Linked DNA regions of Cricetulus griseus. The protein of the gene in region 1 interacts with the protein of each later gene in a biochemical or structural test. Links are inferred from orthologs where the notes say so. Each region holds a gene or a part of one and is shown on either strand. Other genes may lie near its edges.

Region 1 (6,276 bases):
CACACTATTAAAAGACTATCAACAAAGACAAAAAAGGAATCTTGGAAGCATTAAAGTAACTCACTAAATAGAAAGGATCCCAAATATGATTCTCTGTTAACTAGATACAGTGGTATACACTGGAGGCTGAGGCAGAAGAGTTGCAAGTTTAGTGTGGACCTGGACTATGACTGAGGCCCAAGTCACCATAGAGCAAATAATGCCACCCTATCCCAAAAGTGGTTTATAAAAATAAAAGATTATTAATTTCTAAGCAGAAACCTTGTAGGCCAAAATGCAGTGAGGTAATATAAACATTACTGAAAGAAAAAAAAATGGCTAAAGACTATCAACTAAAAATTCAGAGTCTGATAAAACAAAATTGTCCCTTGGAAATGAAGACAAATTAACATTCACAGAGGGAGAATTAAAGGAGTGGGTTATAACTATACCTGCTATGTAAGAAATGCTAAAGATGGTTCCTTCAACCTGAAATGAAAGGATGCCAGACAACAGAAAAAAAAAACAAAAAACAAAAAACAAAAACAAAAATACATGATATAAAGACCTCTGTAAAGATAATCATAAAAATCCTAGCTTAAGGATATAGTTCAATGATAAAGTGCTTTCCTGGCTTGAATGTGGCCCTAGGTTGGATCAACAAAAATATAACAACAATTATTTAAAAGCCAAGTATATGGAAGATAGCTATCAGCTCACCTTCCAAGTAAAAGCAGGCATGGTACCACTCATGTATAATCCCAGCTCTTGAGAGGCAGAGACAGGAAAATGAGGAATTCAAAGCCATCCATTCATATAGAGCAAATTAAAGGCCAGTCTAGATTACATGAAATCCTGCTTCAAAAGAACAAAAAAGAAAACATAGATCTATTGTAGTGTACATACAGGCAAAGATACAATTTTTTATATTAATAAAATTACATGGGGAGGACAATGCAGCTGTAAATATAGTTGTTCTGTCACAGTCAAGTTAGGCAAGGCATACTACGCAATCCCAGTACTTGGGTCACTAAGGCAGGAGGGGAAAAGAACCAGCCTAAACAGATAGTGAGTTCAAAGCCAGTCTGAGCTACATAGTCAGACCCTGTCTCTTAAAAAAAAAAAAAGTTGTTATTAATTTTAAATAGTTGCTGGGTGGTGGTGCATGCCTTTAATCCCAGAACTTAGGATGGATCTCTGTGAGTTTGAGGCCAGCCTGGTCTACAGATTGAGTTGCAGGGCAGCCAGGACTCAGGACTGTTATATAGAGAAACCTGTTTGGGGGAGTGGGTAGGGGTTAAATATATTGTTCTACTTTACAAGAAAAGATAAAGAATAAAAATAATATAGCTACTATGGCAAACAATATTATAGTGCCCAAAAATATTAAAAACACAATTATCACATCACCTAGAAATTCTACCTCTGGGTATACACACAAAAGAATTAAAAACAGAGACTTGAGCAGATATTTATATATCCATTTTCACACCAGTATCATTTACAGTGGACAAAAGGTGGCAACAATCCAAACATACAAGAGTAAGTGCACATGTGCGGGGGAGGGGGGCATATGTGTGCGCACGCAGACACAACACAGGCACACATGCACACACGTGCACTGTGGAATATTAGTCACAGAAAGGAATGAAACCTGATATACGTTATAACATAGATAATTCCTGAATACAGAAGTATGAAATAAGCCAAACAAATACCCAATTCTATTTATGGTAATTACAGGAGCATTCAAATTCATGGAGACAAATAGCAAAATGGTGGATGCAAAGGGCTGACAGGAAGCAGTAAGTCATGATTTGATAGACACAGGCTCTGGAGACAGTACTACATAACATCAGATGAAGAGACAATCACATAGAACTGTACAGCTCAGACCAAACTCGGAAATTTAAGTGTGATGAAAAGTTGTAAATGTGGGAGTGGGACCGTAGAAGTATCATTCTGATAGCTTTTCTAGAAAATAAACTACCAAGGAATAAGTAACAGTATTAAAAAGATGACCAATTTTAACCACTGTGGTACTACAATGTGGAAAACAGGAGACTGAATAGACTGGGTTCCAGTTAATTTCTGTGTCTAGGAGAGGTAAGTAAGCCGGCATACGCCAATATGTAACACACATTAGCCACAAAATTGTAAGTGTTCTTAGCTTCAGACTCATTGTAATTTATCTACAAAAAGGAATACAAGACCCCAATCATATAATTCATATTTTAATATAAATTTTATGAACAAAACAAAGCTTTAGTGAGTCTAGAAGGCAAGGAACAAGAATCAGGCCAATTCTTGTGTTTCCTTACTACCCCATCTCCTTTTCCGTCAGTGTCATCTAGAAACTTGAGGCCAATAAGTTCACTGAGTTAGGCATTGATTTTGAAAACAGAATTTATTTCTAGAGTAAAAATATGGCTGTGAATGTAAAAAAAAAAATTAAGTGTGTAAAAATTAGAGTAAAGTAAGATAAGCACTGGAGCTTATGTTCAACTTCTTGAAAGACCAACCAGTACTTTATATTTGACTAGCTACACCAGAAAAAAAAACAAATCTTGTAATTTTAATCATTATAACTCAAAAACAGTTTTATATAACTGGTCAAGCCCTTGTATGATACATACACCCAAACTAAAAATATAGTACATATCTCAGGATACATTTTTTGTAGCAAGCCTCACTTCATGGACCAATCAACTGCACATGGTCTGTTTATTCCTTTTTACAATTAAATAGCAGAAAAGAAATATGTTTTCTTAGGATGAAACAAAATGTTCCTTTTTTTTTTTTTCAGAAGTGATACTACATTGGTATAAAAGCTGGATAAAAGCTGGAAAACTCATGTATCCCAAAACTTAATTTCTACCAGATAGTTTTCAAATTCAGACAATTTAAACACAGCTGGAGAAATACCCAATGAATTTGATCCATCCTTTCCCCAAAGTATTACATACAATTAAGATACAGTATTATATGTATGCAAAACATACTAAGAATTGGAAGATGTTTGGGTAATAGGAAGAGAACTCTTCAAAAAACTATTGTTTGCAGGACAATCTTCTCTAGGAAGAATAATGTCAACATAGCAGCACTATATTCACCAGGAAACCCCGGAGTTGACAGCTTCATCATGTAGCAGGAAACCAAACCTTCTGGCTGCTCACAATATCACCGAGTTTCCCTTTGATCTTCAGGAAGTGTCTCTTGAACTCTAATCCATCACCCTATTTTAGGAATATTTTTAAAAAATAAAAAAAGGCTGTGTCAAAGATCATATTCTCATTTCTGGTCAGTAGAAACAAACACCCTTAGATACATCCAGTTATGGCATCCTCATGTCTTCTTTTTTCCCTTCTCCCTGTTCTTCTGAGAATACTGGATTTCAGGTATGTACCACTCTAGCTTAGTTATTCATTCCATATAAATCTATAGCATTTTGGCTTACTTGAGCAGGCTATTATAGCATCTTATGGGTTCTTCATTAATAATTTATTAAATGCAAACTGAATCCAGTCCACTTGTGAAGACCAACAATTCTAGTGGAAATGGCTACCTTGGCAATTCTCACCTGATTATGTGCTCTTCACTTTCCACACTGAGCAGAGAAAGAATAATGGCTTTTTTTTTTTTTTCTGTTTCAAGGGCTAGTACCTTTGGACCTATACCAATTGTTTTCCATAAGCAGCAGGAGTTGGTGAACTAAACCCAAGCCACATTGAAGTTTTATCATTAAAAAAAAAATTCCACTAAACTTAGTTATGACAACAGTTTTAATAGAGGAGAAGCCTTCATAATGGAATTACATACCAAGAATATAGAAAACAATACTGCAGCCAGGCCAGGCGGTGGTGGCGCACACCTTTAATCCCAGCACTCAGGAGGCAGAGGCACTCGGATCTCTGTGAGTTTGAGACCATCCTAGTCTACAAAAGCTAATTCCACAACAGCCTCCAAAGCCACAGAGAAACTCTGTCTCGAAAAACCAAAAAAAAAAAAAAAAAAAAAAAAAAAAAAAAAAAAAAAACTATAAATGAAACATAAAAAAATACCTTTGAAAGCCGGAAGTCAACCAGTATCTTCTCATCCATTTCTACCAAATTTATTTTGAAAATCAACTTATTGTTTCTTCTATCAGTTGTTGATACAGTAACCTAAGGCAATAAAAATAAAGTCAAGCCACACACACACACACACACACACACACACACACAAACAGAAAATACTCTTAACGAAATATCTGTTATCAACAGGTCGGTAATACTTTTGGGATAAAAATGTATAGTAAAATCCTCGCATGACAGGAGTGGCATGAAGAACACTATAAATTACAGGGCTAGAAAGGCAGCTCAGGTTAAGAGCACTTGATGCTCACTCTTCCAGAGGACCTGAGTTCCATTTTCAGCACCCATGTCAGGAGGCTCCCAATCTCCTGTAATTCTAGCTCCAAAGGGTCTGATGCCTCTATAACAGACACTGACACACAGATGCACAGACATAGTCGTGTACACATAAGAGTAAAAATAAATCTTAAAAAAATAAAAAAAGACTGCTATAACTCTCTCCAATGGGCACCTTTGCATCTAATCTAAACCAAGCTGTAAGTAGAACTCAGTCTAAGTGTACTTTCAGCAACAAAGCAGAACTGAAAAAAAGAAATGACTGAAAGGAATAGGAATATCATGAAGACTAGAGATATAGCTTGGTGGCAGGGCATTTGCCTAACATGAATAAGGCCTGAGTTCAATCCCCAATACTATAGTCAAACAATCAATCTCATATATGAAAAAGAAAACAAGAAGCTGTCTCTATGGCTGAAAAGCTGCAATAACAACAAGGTGACGGTGAAGGCCTGGAGAGGTCTTGCAACTCCCATTTCAGTTCCTCATTCCTGTTCACTTGTGTTTTTTTTTTCAGATATTCTCACAGACTATAAGGTAGTTCAGCCAAGATGACTGATGTGAAAAAAACAAAAGGCACAGACAAGAGCCAGGGCAAGTAAGACCCAAACATGGAGATAAGGACATCGTCAACTGCAGCTTAATATAAAAATACTAACCTTAGAGGTTTTGGACAAAAACAAAAACCTTAAAGCCTTCAACTGTTTCTTTTTCAAATTGATTATTTGTATTTTCAAAACATTCACTGACTACTGATATCTTTTATTTAAATACTTATAATTTTCTATGGTTAAAAAGATACTGAAAACTAACAAAACACACCTGATTCATACAACTCTTCTTCCACTGATAGCCCAACTTCTCAAAGGTCTCTTTCAGGCACTGGTAAGATTTGTCTGCATCCAATTTGGTGAAGAAGCGTGTCATTCTTTTGACCAAGCGCTGCCAGGGGTTCTATACCACAAAGAAGAAAGCAGGATAAATTCCATGTGACCAGTTTATAGCAGTTAGTCTGAAATTCTTTCCCTTGACTTTGGATTCTCACCCATAAAGGCCTCCTCTAATTATTTCTTCCTTATGCAAATAATATGCATCAACTAAAAGTATTAATCCCATAGGCCAAGATTTAACAACAAAAATAAAAGGTAACAGTTATTTATTTGAAAAACTAAATTCCTTACCTGTGAGGATCCAGGGGTACCGAGTAACTGACTGTTTACAAGCATATGATCAGGGCATGTAGGCTGTGAGAAACTGATGCCTTGTACAAGTTTGTCAACATATGAGGGACCAGTGTCCCACAAGGAAAGCCCTGTCGGTGGCTCTGGCTGGGAACTAGAATACTTCACATTTTCTTCACTGAAAAGGAAAAAAGAAATGTCTTTAATTGTCTGTTTTTAAGGTGATTTCATTCATTTTAACAACTTATTTTGTGTCTTTTTTTTTTTTTTTTTTTTTTTTTTGAGACAAGATCGCATCTTGCCATCTTGCTGCCTAGACTGGCCTGCAACTGTCCATCTTCCTGACTCAGCCTCTAATTTGCAGTTATCTGTAATTATATCATGTGTGCTACAGTATTAGCCTAAAAATGTCTTTAAATAAAACCCACCAGGCCTTTCTTATATCACAACTGTTCTTATTTTTGGTGAAATTATTTGCCTAATTAAGTAAAATATATACATGTTTTATTGTTTATGGGGAATAATCACATTAAAAAAAAAAACAACAACAACTTAATCTGCCAATGTATGGTGGTGCACACCTGAAATCCCAACTCTCAGGAAGCAGACACAGGAGGATTAGTACAAGTTCAAGACCAAGTTCCAGTTCAGTTAAAATTATTAATGTAATTCTTACCTGGAAGCATTATTTACAGGAGAAAAGTCCA
Region 2 (7,224 bases), about 69 Mb from region 1:
GCTAGCTAAGCTGGTACAATCCAAAAGCCATTCTCCTTCAACTAACAGAATCTCTACAAACCAGAGACTAATTGGGACACATTTCAACACTGGGGAAGAGGCTGCTCATTCCCTTGTTCTCCATGTATTTTCCAACAAGATTTGTTTTTATAGCCAAATGTAACTCAAACCCATAACAAACAACTAGCCATCTTCAATATCACTGATTCCCTCCCCACCCCCAGAATAGAAAGAGGCAAGAGGGGAGACTGTCCCTAAGAAAAACCTGGCTAGACCCCAGCGGAGCAAAGATGACCGACCAGGAGACTGCTGCCCGGAAATGTTGATGGACAGACACCAAAATAGGCTGCACACAACTAAAGCACAGCCCAGCTCCTCAGATGGAGATGTTCCCTCGAGAGCCTCACCTCCATGGGGTTAGATTAAGGGGGTAACTGGTGTGATTTACCACTCCCTGTCCCTCAAATTAAAACATGATAAACCCAGAACATTTTACTTCAAAATTTACCACTTCCTCCTGAGAAAGTCTACAGTCATCTGTAGGCCAGGACCGACTCCTTCCACCCAATGGTCTGGGCTTCTTCGCCCCCTTCTCACCCTTGGGTGCCCACCCAACAATGATTTGATACTCCTCAACTCATACAATGACTTTTTTTTTTTCCCAAAGGACATTCAGTGAGCATGCTCCTCCCTCCCCAGTGGACTCCACTCATTCCTCCCCACTCTCACCCTGGGGCACCTACACTAACCACAGCATTCCAGCACTGGCCTGGGATGGCCAGAAGGAAGCTGCCTGAAGTGCTTTCCTGGGACTCCTATAGAAGCCACCATCGTGGGAACCTGGAGTGGATCTAAAACTTCCCCAAGGACATCACAAAGGACAGAGGGCGGTCTGGGAAGGTTAGCTTATGTCCTGTAGCCAAGCCTGGATCTGGTGCAGGCTCTTACCAGCATCTCAGTCCTTGACTTTGAGTAGCAGCAATCCCAGTTCACAGTGCCTCCTAGGGGTGACTGAGCTCCTAGCGCTGTCCACAACAGGTTTGCCTATTCTTATCCCTGCCCCAATTTTTTTTTTTTTTTAAATTAAAAGTAGAGGTAGTTCCTGGAATGATAAAACTCTACCTAGGATGGCAGTATTTTGACTTAATGAAGCAGTAAAGTAAAAGTCTTGAGGAATTAAAAAAATAATAAAATAATCGATGAAGCTGAATAAATTAAAGTTATGGGTCATCCACAAAGACCTCTCTCTCCCTTCCAGCCTATCTTTGGTATTTGGCCAGCAGCACTTCTGTTTGTCACTTCTCTCCCCTCATGACAGGCGGCCAGGGTCTGCCGAATAAGGCCCTAGCTACTCTTCATGCATGGGACGCTCAGTCAGAGCAGCTTGACACGGCGCTCTAGACTGTAGACTCTGGTCTGCGCTGTGGTGTATCCAGCTCTGGCAGATAGTCCTGACAGGGAAGGAATCTTATAGGACAGGAGAGCCCTGGGCTCCAACCTGGGAGTGTAGGAGACAGGATTAAGGCACGGAAGGCCTGTGTCTTTCTCCGTGTACCGCAGCTGGCTCCTTTGCTTCCTGCTCTGCAGCAAAGGGAAAGGAAAGGGGCAGAGGGAAATATGGCTGCTGCTGTCTGGCTTCAAAGCTTCTTCAGGCGACTATACATCTCTCTTTTGCTCTTTTCCCCTGCCCAGGTCCGGCTCTTGGTACGAAACTTCTTCAGGTCTTCTTTAAAGTCTTCATGGTGCATTGGTCGGTAACTGGGGGGCTCACAGTGAGACTATAGGGACGTGAGAATGAGGGAACAAAGTCAGGACATGAACTGCCTCACAGTCTGGCTAACCCCTGCCTAGAGCTGCAAGGCTGTGAGAAGCAAGAAGCAAGGGCCAACAAGTTCTACAGGAGCCTGGTGCTTAGAGGATGCTCGGCTTGTCTCCAGACCCCACCCCCACCCAAGCAGCCGCAACAACTGATTTATTGGTCCAGCATAGGCACAGAGACATGCTATTCATAGATGCCTCACCTGGCATTTCAGGAAGAACTCTTTGTATCCCCCCTTTAGGACATACAGCTCGGGGTAGTGGAGTTTGGGGTATTCATTGCCAAGCCTATCTCTTTCTCTCACATATCGGCACCTAGCGAAAAGGAATGGAGACAACAGTGAGAACAGTGGTGTTTCAGGCACTCACTCCTTCCTAAGCACGCGCTAATAACACTGCCTGCAGCAGCTCTGAACCAACTCACTCGCCTCCCCACTCACCTCCTATTGAAGTAGAACCCTTTCTGTGCCTTTAGACAGACTAGGGTGTCTACTTCCTGGGAGTACCTACTGGAACCCCGCACAGAAGTGACCACTGGAAGCTCTTGTCTCAATGGTCCACCCTGCCCAAACCTGTAGACAAGGTGCAGTTGTGCCTACAGATGTGCTGCCTCGACGGCCTCGCCCCCATCCCACTCTGATCTTCTCTTCCGCCCAGGAGCTTCCACCTCTGACCTCCTTTTGAAGGACTTGTGAACATTTTGCATAGTTAGTTCTAAGTATTTCTTTTCTTTTCCTTTTTTAAAGGTTTTATTTATTTATTTATTATGTATACAACATTCTGCTTCCATGTATATCTGCACACCAGAAAAGGGCACCAGATCTCATAACAGATGGTTGTGAGCCACCATGTGGTTGCTGGGAATTGAACTCAGGACCTCTGGAAGAGCAGCCAGTGCTCTTAACCTCTGAGCCATCTCTCCCGCCTGAAAGTTCTAAGTATTTCTTATGCTTCTCTGCCTCCTGCTTTCTCCGAATGTGACCTCCAGAAAGGCAGGGTTTTAGTTTTTTGTTTTGTTTGAGACAGGGTTTCTCTGTGGCTTTGGAGGCTGTCCTTGTTTTATACTGTTATTGCTTAGAGGACTGCCAAGCTTATGAAGACTGGGATGCAAGTTCCTGATAATTTCCATTCATGTGTGACTATTCAGGTCCTGTGCAAATGTTTGTTATCTGTTCATATGTTTCTGTCTGTTTGGTTTTTTCTTTCTTTTTTGGTGACAGGATCTCACTACATAGTCCAGACTGGCCTTGAATTCTTATACAATAGTGCCCTGCTGTAGTTATGAATGGAATGTATGTAAATGTGGCAGAACAGCAAGATGAAACCACAAGCTCGTATAACTTCAGCAAAGGGAGGAGTGCAGCAGTGCCTGTCCAGCACACCAGGGACCTGCTTTCAACCCCAGCAGTATACCCAAAGAGCAAAGCACGCCCAAGACCAAGACCTGGTCTTCTGAGCCTACTCCCATTCTATGGAGTGTCTCTTTCTTAGTAAAGGTTAAGTACTGCCAGTTTGGATGTATTTACTATTACTCAGGATTGGACCTGCCACCCGGATCATTTTCCCTGCCACCACACATGTTCAGCCTCACCACTGTATCTTTAATGAATGGCTCCATTTTATTATCTTAGTAGTATCTGCTACATAGCAGGTATCTACTCCTCTATTCTTGGTGAGCCAAAGGGGACAAAGGTCAAACACATTAGACTCACCATTGGTCTCACAACAGGGTGTGTGACATACTACACTTATACCACTAGTGAAAAAGGAACATACTACCAGGCTCAACAAAAACAACATGAACCCTCTACCCCCAAGTCTTATTCTCTGTAGTACTTACATGCGAGGGCCTCTTTCAGAAGAAAACTCACAGTGGAATACGACAATGACACGCTTGCCATCAGTAGGTACAATAGGTTTTTTGAGTAAGAACTCCTCAACCTCTTCTTCCATGTGCAAGTTCACGGCACCCTTTGAAGACACCAGATACTTTTAACATCTGCTGAATCACACTTGAAGACTCAAAGAGGGAGCCAGCTCCTCAGAGTAATTTGTGATTCTGCAGGTCTCCTGGCACAGCAGTCCAGTAGACTTTTGTATCTCAATGAGGCTTTCTCTATAGGTCTATAGGCTTTCTCTATAGATCAGTAACAAATATGAAAACTGGAAATTATTTCCAAGGTCACTTCATAAAGTTAGAAGGTAATACCCCCTACACCACATTTAAACACTGCTTTATAAGGTAATATTAAATTAATTTATAAGGTAATATTAAAGTGGTATGACCAGAAACATGTATTCCAACATGTCCCTCCACCAATTTGGCTGTTTGATTAAAGAATAGAGGCCCGGTACAGATACCAAGGCATGTTGCCAGAATGGCGTCTTTTAGTCAGGAGCTCTGGGATGGTCAAATATTTATATTTAAGATTTCAAATACTATGGAGCACTTTGTGGCTCCACTGAATGGCTTAGATGTCAGGGATGCCACCTAGAAATGCCCTGAAACAGCACAGAGTGAGGGGCAGACAAGGAGAGCACTGCAGGAACTCACATCTTCTGGCTTGTTCTAAATCCTCACCATCAGCTGAGAGGTGTCAATAACCCTCCTCTAAGCCACCCACGATAAGTCTCAAGAATCCAAACCTTGATGTGACCTCCTTCATATTCATATGGATATCGGCAGTCAATGATAACAAACTCTTTAATGAGGTTAGCAAACTTGCCATTCAAAACAGATGCCATCTATGAAGAAAAAGGAGGGTGGGGTGTCAATGGTGGCAGTCACATAACAAGATTCCAACCCCCGTGTGCAGTGGGTTCCACAAATGTGACTTACAATTTCTGGAGAAATATATTTCAAATCCTGATGCTTCCCAGAGACTGTATGAAAGAGATAACCCTTTAAAAAAGGAACAGAAGATACTCAGGGGAAGGAACGTGAAAGCTTGCAAATGTCGTTTCCTCTGTTGCCCAGCTGGTAGGGAGCAGCCCAAAAAAACAAACCCAGAAACAAATGAATAGTATATGAACAAGTGAATAGTATATGCTAACTACCCTTCTATGCACCAACACTCGGATATTTAATTGTTATTTGTTTAAGGAGGAATGGTCTCATTATGTAGACCAGTCTGGCTCCAAACCCAGAGGTGTGTCTGCTCCTGGGATTAAAGAAATGAGCCTTTGAGACAGCACAAGCCTGGCTGGCTTGGAACTGAGGCTAGATTTGAAGACAGAAATTGTAGGTGATTTCCCCTTTCTCTTGTTTTTAAAAGGGAACTCTCATCTTAGTGGTTAAAGTATGAAGACCTAAAAATGCAGCAAAGAGCCAGGCAGTGGTGGCGCACGCCTTTAATAATTCCAGCACTTGGGAGGCAGAGGTAGGAGGATCTCTATGAGTTCCAGGCCAGCCCGGTCTATAGTGGCTCAGGTCTGTAATAATAGCCTTTGGGAGGAAGAAGTAGGAGGATCCATGAATTCAACTCCAGCCTGAGTGTGAACATGAGGCCAATTGGGGATATGAGACTCTGTAACAAAACATAGGCATGGTACTATATACTGTGTAACCCAGCACTGGGAGCCCGAGGAAGGCGATATGCGTCTAAGGTCCGCTTGGGCTAAATAGTGAGACCCCACCTCAGAAGTGAAGACAATTTGCTCATCTAATTAGCACGTGGTTGCCCAGGGGAGATGGGCAGTGAGAATGGGAAAACAACCTTGGTCCAACCTTAAGAAAGACGAACACAGTAACGTTACTTAGAGGATAACTGGCCAAGTTAAGAGCCTACCCATGACCATATTAAAAACCACCAACAGTCTCAACTCGTTGAAGGTTACACAAGCCCTTGGTTGTTCTTCTCTCCAAACTCCCCGTTCTCTTTTTATTTTTTTGAGACAGGGTCTCTATATTGTCCCACTATCCTGGAACTTACTAGGTAGATCAGACTGGCAAATTCTGCCTCCTAAGTGCTGGAATTAAAGGTATGCACCACCACCACCCAGAAAATCTGGACCTTCTAAGATACCTTTCAACATATGGACTCAAAGCATGGTTGTATATGCATACTATTTTTATAGTCAGAAGTTCAGTTCCCAGAGAACCTGCATTATGGGTCAGAGTGAAGGCAGATAGCCAACAGGAAACCACAGTCTCAAAGACCAACATGTACCTTATCATTAGAAGCTCAATTTGTTCCCTATCTTTAACTTTTTAAAATGTTGCTTTGGAGGCACCCCAGGAGCCACCTTGAAGGAGAAAGGCTAAGTGGGGTTCTAGCTACCCCCATCACTTCCTCAGTACTATCCAACTCTTCTTGCAATTACCTTGGAGAAATCTCCTATAAGGTCTCTTGGGTCACTGTCCAAAATGGTCTCAATGGTTCCTTTGGGTGAGGATGTCAGGGATAAAGACTGGTGTAGAAGCTGTAACAAACCAAAGGTAGAGGGTGACACCAGAGTTTTAACTAGAACTCCAAAATATTTACCTTGACCATGACAAAAGGAGACTGAATTATGAATACCCACATTAAGTAAAAGATTTTGTAATTCGACTGAATCAAAAGGAAAAAGACAGGCCCTTCTATTTATTAGCTAGCTGAATTTCTATAAAAACCCTTCTATCCTTTTTGGAGACAAAGTTTTACTGCGTATCTTTGGCTGGCTAATGTAGACCTGCTAACGTAGACCAATTAGCACTAAACTCAGAGATCCATAGGGATTACAGGCATGCAACATACCCAACACCTTTGCGTTTTATTGTTCATAATGAAAACTATTGAGCTGATGATATCAAGCTGAGACTTGGTAATGCATGAAGCAGGAGGACTGCTACAAGAAGTTTGAGCTAGCCAGGGCTACATGGCAAGAATCTGCCAAAAGCAAACAAAACAAAAACAACCAAACCCAAAACAGAAAATCATTGACATGTATCTCACAAAATAAAGCATAATTACTTTATCTCAGTAGAGTTCCTGAATGTCTGATAGGGCTTTTTTTGGTGAGAAAACAAATTCAAGAAGTTGTAAAGATCGTTTAGATTGCTTCTAAATAAATAGCCTTCTGTGATCTAGGCTTTCCTTTTGCAGGTTGGCATAGCACCAAAGGACAGCCACACAAGGAGCCACTGTGTAAGCAAGCCTGAAAACTAGTAATCGAGAGGCAACCTGAACATTTATATCCAAAAAGGGAGACTGGGACCTTGAACCATTTCTTTTTATGATTTTTCCCCCTCTTTCAAAGACACAAGGGCCAGAGAGGTGGCCCAGAGGGCAAATGTACTTGTATATGCCTAACAGCAATCCTAGGAACCCTCATTGGAGAGAGGATCAACTCTGGAAAGTCCTCTAACTGCCACACATGCCATGGCACACAAAGGTCTTGCGCCAAAATAGTATTTAAAAAGAGGGT
Region 3 (7,324 bases), on another chromosome or scaffold:
AAAACCAAACCAAAAGGGGGCTATGACAGGTGCTGCAGCATGGATGATCTTGAGGATCTCATACTAGGGGATTAAGCCATACCATTACCATATGGTCCACAGAGGGGTCAGACTCAGAGAAAGATAGCCAAATGGTGAGTGGAGAGTCAGCATTTATGGGGAACAGATAAAAAGGTTCTGGAGATGGCTACACAGTAACTCAGATGAATGCCACTGAGCCACACACTAAAATTAAGTGTATTTTACAATAAAGGACGTTGGGCTGGAGAGAGGGCTCAGTAGAGGACCTGACTCATGTCAGGCAGCTCATAACCCAACCTGTACCTCCAACTTCAGGGGATCTGACTCCTTCTGGCCTCTGAAGGCACCTATACATTCAAGCGCACAAACACGCAGACACTCAAGAATATACAATTTTTATTTTAAGGAGCAGGCAGGAAATGAAGCTCTCCAGAGAGCTGCTTAGTCCCAATAAGGAGAAGGAATTATGGGCTGGAGAGATGGCTCAGTGGTTAAGAGCACTGCCTGCTCTTCTAGAGGACCTAGGTTCAATTCCCAGCACCCACATGGCAGCTCACAACTATCTGTAACTCCAGTTCCAGGGGACCTGACAACACCCTCACACAGACATACATGCAGGCAAAACACCAACACACATAAAATAAAGTCATTAAAAAAAAAAATGTCAAGCTGGGCATTGGTGGCACATGACTTTAATCCCAGCATTTGGGGAGGCAGAACTCTCAGTGAGTTCGAGGTCAGCCTGGTCTACATACAGAGTGAGTATACAGAGTGAGTTCCAGGACAGCCAGAACTGTTACACAGAGAAACCCTGTGTTGAAAAACCAAACACACACACACACACACACACACACACACACACACACACACACACACACACACAGCAAAACCAAACCAAATGTTTAAAGAAGAAAATGGAATCAGAGGAAGCCAAGACCTTGACACCAGAAAGGCTTCGGAGCACAGTGGGTCCAGGGGTTATACCCACCTTGTGTCCTCTCCCAACCTGAGCATACCCTTTCTGAAAACCCAGCCAGACTGGCTGCCTGAAAAGCTCACACCTACTGGCTCAACCTTCTGAGCTATTCCAAGACCATCAAGCAGTCTCCTTCCAGGTGACCACTTGTTAGGTACTTGAGGGAAGTACTGTCTAACACAGAGAGCCAGGCAGCGTCTTCCCTGTGATTTGTGAGTCCCAGAGTCCCATCGCATCAGTGCCGTTTCATCTTTGAGTAGGTGATATGATTCTATAGTCCAAAAGGCTGCAAGCTCTTTCCTCAGGGCCTCCCCCCAGGAGCCAGCATCTCCCAGGGAAGCGGACCTCTGGAGTTCTCTTCCTCAGGCTAACTGTTAAGGCTGCCCCCTTTCTCTGGTCAATGTTCCCAAACTACCCTCTCAAAACAAACAATCTCACATCACCAAAGTCATATCAAGTAAAAGTCTATTGAATTATGCAGAATTCACCAATGGTTTCTGAGGAAAGTCTGTTCCGACCCTGAGAGGATTTCAGTCACCCAAAACAGTGACAATTAGTTAGTCTACAGCAAAACACACCAACCAATCTGGGTCTCATGGAATTTCAAAACCTTTATGCCTTAATACAGCATTTCTGGATTAATGAGATGGCTCAATGGCTAAAGACTCGTCTCCAAACCTGATGTGAGTTCAGTCCCTGAAACCCAACAGAGGAAGGAGAAATTTCAACAAGTTGTCCTTTGACCTCCACATGCATGCCATGGCATGTGTAGCAATGCATAAACACACAATGAACAATATAATGAGATATTTTTAAAATACAGTACTAAGAAAATGAGCAGCAGGGTGTGGTGGTGCACACCTTTAATCTCTGGGAGGCAGACGCAGGCAAATCTCTGTGAGTTCAAGGTCAGACTGGTTTACAAAGTAAACAGAATAGTTAGGGCTGTAACACAGAGAAACCCTGACTTGAAACACAAACAAAAAAAATGAGGGGCTGGAAATGGCTCAGTAGTTCAGAGTACTGGCTTCTCTTGCAAAGGACCTGGGTTCATTTCTGGAAACCCACACGGCAGCTCACAACCATAGATTAACTACAGTTTCAGGGGGGTCTGATATCCTCCTCTGGCCTCTGTGGGCATAGGCATGTATGTGGTATATAGATCTATATGCAGGTAAAACACCCATACATTTTTCAAAAAAGACTGAACTTTGAAAGCACTGTGCTGAGTGAAACGTTGGCACAAAAGGACAAGTATCATACGATCCCAGTTCTGGCCACATGCTCAGAACTGGAAGAGCTATGGAGATGAAGAAAGAGATAGTTGGGTGGCTGTGATGGGGCTGGGAACTGGGATCCACAGGCAGGAGGGACCTCAGTGGGGCAACGGAAACGGCGCTCAGAAAGCATGCAGTGAACATCCCTGCGCTGTACTCTTACAAGGGTAAGGCTTATAATACATAAATTAGCCTCTTTCCACACAAACTGTCACTATATCAGATAGTCTTCAGACATCTTTAGGCACCCTCCCCAAGGTCCTCTCACTTTAAAGAGGATGTATAACCCAAGAGTGAAGACAGATAGGGAGGGAGCACAGGGGGAAGCCCTTGACCCTGAGCCCAGGATGATCTGGATCAATTCCTCCCATAGCCAGACACACACCACATAGCTACTCTCAGTTAACTAGTCTTTGCTTAAAGCAAAGAACCGGATGGTGCAGAAGACCCCTGACAGTCCCTCTGATGGCTCACACCTCAGATATCACCCCCCCCCCCCGGGCAAAAAAGGAGCATGCCACAAGGCTCCTAGGTGCCCATATAATTCGTACCTGATCCCAGCTGTAATTGCTGGTAAGGCTAAAGTAGGAATCTAACTGTACTTACTGGCAAAGCTTACACCCGGCTTCCTAGCAGTCAGCCTCCACCTTCAGTAAGTCTGTATATAACCCTGAACACTTCTGACCCAGGGCCTGATGCATGCTGGGTCAAGTTTGACTGACTCTAAACCTTCATTTTCAGAAGCACTACCCAATGTGTTAAGAAAGGCAGAGAGAAAACACTTGCAGTCCACTTCCCATCTTTCTGAGTTGGCATGCCTCTTCAGATCAGACTCTATGGGTCCTCCTCTTCTCCTGAGCTGGGGCTTGCCTGGGCCTTAGGGTCTAGTCTGAGCTGTATATAGTTAGCTAAATGGATCTCCACAGTGTTTGTTGAAACTGTCTCTCCCCAACCTGAACCATGCCACATTCAAAGTTACCAAGTTTATACACTCATGTGCTCCCAAGGCCAGGCCACCAGACACAAGGGTCCTTCTGCTAAACCACCAGCTAGCCAAGACAGAGACTGAAAATACCTCTCCATGCCATCACCAATGAGTTCCTCGCCATCCTCTTCTTCCTCAACAGGCCCCTCAGTGCCCAGCAGCCCCTCAGACTCATCCTCAAATGGAGGGAGGTCTCTGCCAGGGCTGGAGGTAAGGGCATCCGCACGTCTGGAGCTGCGGCCTGGGCTGGAGGTGAGGGGATCACTGATGCGTCGGCGCTGCTGGGCAGGGCTAGATGCTGCCGAGAAGGACTCAGAAGATTCCTGCAAGAGAGGCTGCCATCAGACACAGCAGGGACACAGGCTGACACCCACCTGGCTATCACGGGGCCTTCCCCGCTGGCTGGCAGTCTCCTGTCTGCCAGGCACTGTTCTCAGGGACATGGAAGCCCTTTAGCCTTGAGTCCTTTCCACTTGCTGGGTCCTCTGCTTGCAATGATCTGAGGCCATCAAGGGGCATCTCCGCCCTTACTGGGTCACATCTCTCTTATGAAAAACCAAGGGGGCTATGTAGTTTTGTGGGTTTTTTTGTTTGTTTGTTTGTTTGTTTTCAGCCGTTTATCATCTACTGGAACCTCAACAATATGCTGGGTGCTGGGACAAGAAGTGATGATTAAGAGACATCAAGGAACATGAACTGAAGTCAAGAACAGACCTTTACTCTTTAACAAGTCAGAGTCATGAGCCCCTAACACTAAGAGCAGGGAAGCCGGGCCTGATGTCACAAGTTATGTAATCCCGAATACCCAGAAGTTGAGTCAGCCTGATGATGTCAAGTTCAAAGTTAACCCGAACTACAGAGTGAGTTCAAGATCAGCCTGGCTGATCTAGTGAGACCCTTTCTCTTTCTTTCTTGTTTTAGTTTTTCCAGACAGGGTTTCTCTGTGTAACTGTCCTGGAATTTGCACTGTAAACCAAGCTGGCCTTGAAGACAGAGATACGCTTGCCTTTGCCACCCGAATGCTGGGATTAAAGGGCTGCGCCACTACCGCCCGACTGTGAAACCTTATTTCAACACAAGTGGATTGCGGTGCATGCAGCTACGTGGTAGCGCGCTTTCCCTACACGCGGGAGGTTCTGAGTTCCACTCCCTGCACCCCCACCACCCACAGTGCATGGAGACCAGAGGCCTAGGGCCACGTGTGGGGCGCAGAGACGACCCGTCCCGGACTCAGGCCTGCCACTGGAGGAAAAGACCCGGTAAAGTAGGCCGAGACCGCTGAACACCGCCCGCCCAAGAGAAGCACGCTCCTCACCGCCATTTCTGTGCTCGCTCCGCCGTACCAGCAGCCACCGGTTTTCGCGCGAAAACTGGATCATGTGACCCGCCCTTGCCCGGGAAACTCCGAGAGGAGCCAGACGTCACGACGCCCGCGTCAATCTAGGGCGGGAGGAGGGCTAGAATGTTTGGTCACGCCTACATGAGGCGAGGCCCCGCCCTATTCTCCAGGAGACCGGCCCACAGCATTCAAAAGGCTGCACTCAGGCCGCCTGCACACCTAGGTTTAAAGGGTTTGTCACGCTAAAAGGACGGAGCTGAACTTTGGGTTGCTCGAGGCTCTAAGGACCAATCCGGCCTCCTAAGCTGTGAGACCTTGGTGTCAGTATGGCCACTTGATGCAGCTGAAACTGTTTTCTGATTTCTTCCTGATTTGATACTAACTTCTTCCAAAACTCTGAGATTCAGTCCTTCATGCACTCAGGCTGCTGTGGGCTTTTATCAAAGAGGGAGGGATTCATACTGGCTGGGGTAAGATAGGCTGTATGCGTCCAGTAAGGGACTGCTGTTGTTCCTGTAGTCCTAGACAGCTGAATCTCACGAGGATGGGATTTCTGCTGTATGTCCAGCTTGAATAGTTCTTGGTGCCTTGGGCATGGATGGTTCTTACAGGTCGTAGAGTAGGGCAGGGAGGGGAAGCATGGAAGGAAGCTCAGAAGGTGGCATCTGCAGGCCTCATCATACAAGAGACACCCCGAGGTGCTAAAGGATGAGCATTAGGGAGATGAGTTAGTACAGCAACCCTTCTCGGGCTGGTGGCCTCCCTCAAAGCTGGAAACCCCTGTGCCACCTGGAACTATGTGGGTGACAGCAACATTCACCAGTGTGGAAGGTGCTGCATCTCGATGGAAGAGACTCCAAGAAAAGTCAAGAGCATATTCTGTCACTATGATAGGATACATTTTTTTGAAAAGATGACTGAGTCTGCCCTAGGCTACTAGACCCCTATGAGCTCCAATGAAGACAAGCCCTCATTTCTTCACAGTACTTACCTCTTCCCTTCACAGAATCTCATCGGCCACCACTGGCCCGCCACTCCATGCTCATCCATCCTTACTAGCAAGGTGTCATGGACAAGACAAACCAGAGCCACCTTCTGCCAGACCCCATGACAGCAGAGGGTAGTGGAGTCACCACAGCCCTGGAAGGACCCTGAAGGTGGGCTATCCCTTTCCTGTAATGTGGATGGAAAGAGGCGGGGTTTGCAATGAGTGAAATAGGCATATGGAGGGTCCCAGTGCCCCAACAAGCTTTAGGCTCTGAAGACTGGCACAGCTGTTCACATCCTGCACTGGTGCAAGTCAGGTACACTACCTGATAGATCCCCATTCCTGTGTCTTCCTGGATGCCACACTATCCTGTGTTCAGGGGACACCCCACGGCAAGAGGTTCTTGATGGCCTTGGTTACTCCCCAAATGCCATAAAATCTCCTAGACACATGGAGCCCAAAATTCCGGGGTAGGAAATGCAGAATAGCATATTTTGTTTTTCTGAGACACTGTCTTGTTATGTAGCCCTGGTTGGCCTCAAAATAGAGGTGATTTTCCTGTCTCAGCCTCTAGAGCACTGGAATTATAGGCATGTAATCCCACCACACCCTATTTGCCTAGTGTGACTGATGGTGGTGGCGGTGGGGGCAACAGGCACGGGAGAAAAGGCTCAGCAGTTAAGAGCATGTACTGACTTTGCAGAAGCCCTGAGTTCAATTCATGTGGCCTTTCTCTTTGTAAGTATAGGACAGTGGTGTTCTGACCCCTGGAAGCCAAGGAGGGCCTAGGACACTTTTTTTTTTTTTTTTTGCCATTATTTCTAAGCAGTGTACTGTATTGTCTTGGCAGGAATTTGAGAACTCTTGGTGATTTTCTCTGCCCACTGTGGCTGAGACAACTGCTAACCTGTAGCCAGATTATCCGCCTAAAACCAAAATTGACGTGGGAACCTAATCTGGAAGTGTCAGGGAAGCTATGTCTAACACCAGTCACAAGGAGGCCCAGCCTCATTCCAGTCCCATGGTGCTGTCCTGGGTGATCCTGGGATCCTAAAATAAACAGCTGCCTACACCTTTCGACAGCACTGAGTCAGCCCTCAGAATGCTGCTGGGACACACTATGGGCTGGGTCCTGGGCCACTGGATGCCTGAGAAGGGGCAGACATGTCAATACGGTCACTTGAGGGAGAGACCAGGAAGTTCTCCATGAAGAGAGGGTGTGAGGAGACACAGAGGCCCAGCAGGGGAGGCGAGGCACAAGTTTGAATGTCTACAGGGAAGCTCCTGTGGGTGGCCGAAGTTGTGCAAGATGGGCAGGAGATGGCCTGAAATAAGGCCAGGCCTCTGAGTTGCCCTGGAGGTGTCGCACACCATAGAGTCGTCCGGGAGGTGGAGGTGGGGGGAGGCGACAGTCAGGGAAGGCGTCCCTCTGGAAGGCACCTGCCTACGCGTGAGACCTGGTGTGTTCACTCCCTAGGCCGATGGCTTTGAAAACATCCCTTAACCCCTTCAAGAAACGTCGGGTGCCCTCGGGAAAACGCAACTAATAGTACCCAGCCTTCAAGATGACTGGGACAGGGGGCCTGGAGCCCTGTAAACGCCAGGTCCCTTTGAAGTGGGCAAGCACACCGCGTCCGAGGAAGATCCGCCCTCTCGTCCCTCCTCTCTGGTCCAGGTGACCAGAGGTCACTTTTGCGGGGCGGCGGGTCCCCAAGGCTCCACCTTCGGAGAGGTGGGG

What was found.
Region 2: of the proteins of Chek1 (region 1) and Cdc25a, one has a biochemical effect on the other in vitro, tested with the Homo sapiens proteins (7 studies listed by BioGRID and IntAct, with this or other methods). The link is inferred for Cricetulus griseus from reciprocal best matches to the Homo sapiens genes CHEK1 and CDC25A.
Region 3: the proteins of Chek1 (region 1) and Mcm2 form a complex in vitro, tested with the Homo sapiens proteins (2 studies listed by BioGRID, with this or other methods). The link is inferred for Cricetulus griseus from reciprocal best matches to the Homo sapiens genes CHEK1 and MCM2.

Annotation. Positions count from the first base shown.
Region 1 is NC_048597.1:148,657,422-148,663,697, forward strand, and holds the end of Chek1 (serine/threonine-protein kinase Chk1), read right to left. Parts: coding exon 6,246-6,276; intron 5,748-6,245; coding exon 5,570-5,747; intron 5,343-5,569; coding exon 5,211-5,342; intron 4,143-5,210; coding exon 4,041-4,142; intron 3,216-4,040; coding exon 3,120-3,215; 3' UTR 2,201-3,119; downstream 1-2,200. UniProt on the Homo sapiens protein: Serine/threonine-protein kinase which is required for checkpoint-mediated cell cycle arrest and activation of DNA repair in response to the presence of DNA damage or unreplicated DNA.
Region 2 is NC_048597.1:217,362,239-217,369,462, reverse strand, and holds the end of Cdc25a (M-phase inducer phosphatase 1), read right to left. Parts: intron 6,241-7,224; coding exon 6,142-6,240; intron 4,721-6,141; coding exon 4,658-4,720; intron 4,564-4,657; coding exon 4,465-4,563; intron 3,790-4,464; coding exon 3,659-3,789; intron 2,134-3,658; coding exon 2,022-2,133; intron 1,779-2,021; coding exon 1,638-1,778; downstream 1-1,637. UniProt on the Homo sapiens protein: Tyrosine protein phosphatase which functions as a dosage-dependent inducer of mitotic progression. Directly dephosphorylates CDK1 and stimulates its kinase activity. Also dephosphorylates CDK2 in complex with cyclin-E, in vitro.
Region 3 is NC_048601.1:54,398,591-54,405,914, reverse strand, and holds the start of Mcm2 (DNA replication licensing factor MCM2), read right to left. Parts: upstream 4,729-7,324; 5' UTR 4,581-4,728; coding exon 4,575-4,580; intron 3,583-4,574; coding exon 3,350-3,582; intron 1-3,349. UniProt on the Homo sapiens protein: Acts as a component of the MCM2-7 complex (MCM complex) which is the replicative helicase essential for 'once per cell cycle' DNA replication initiation and elongation in eukaryotic cells.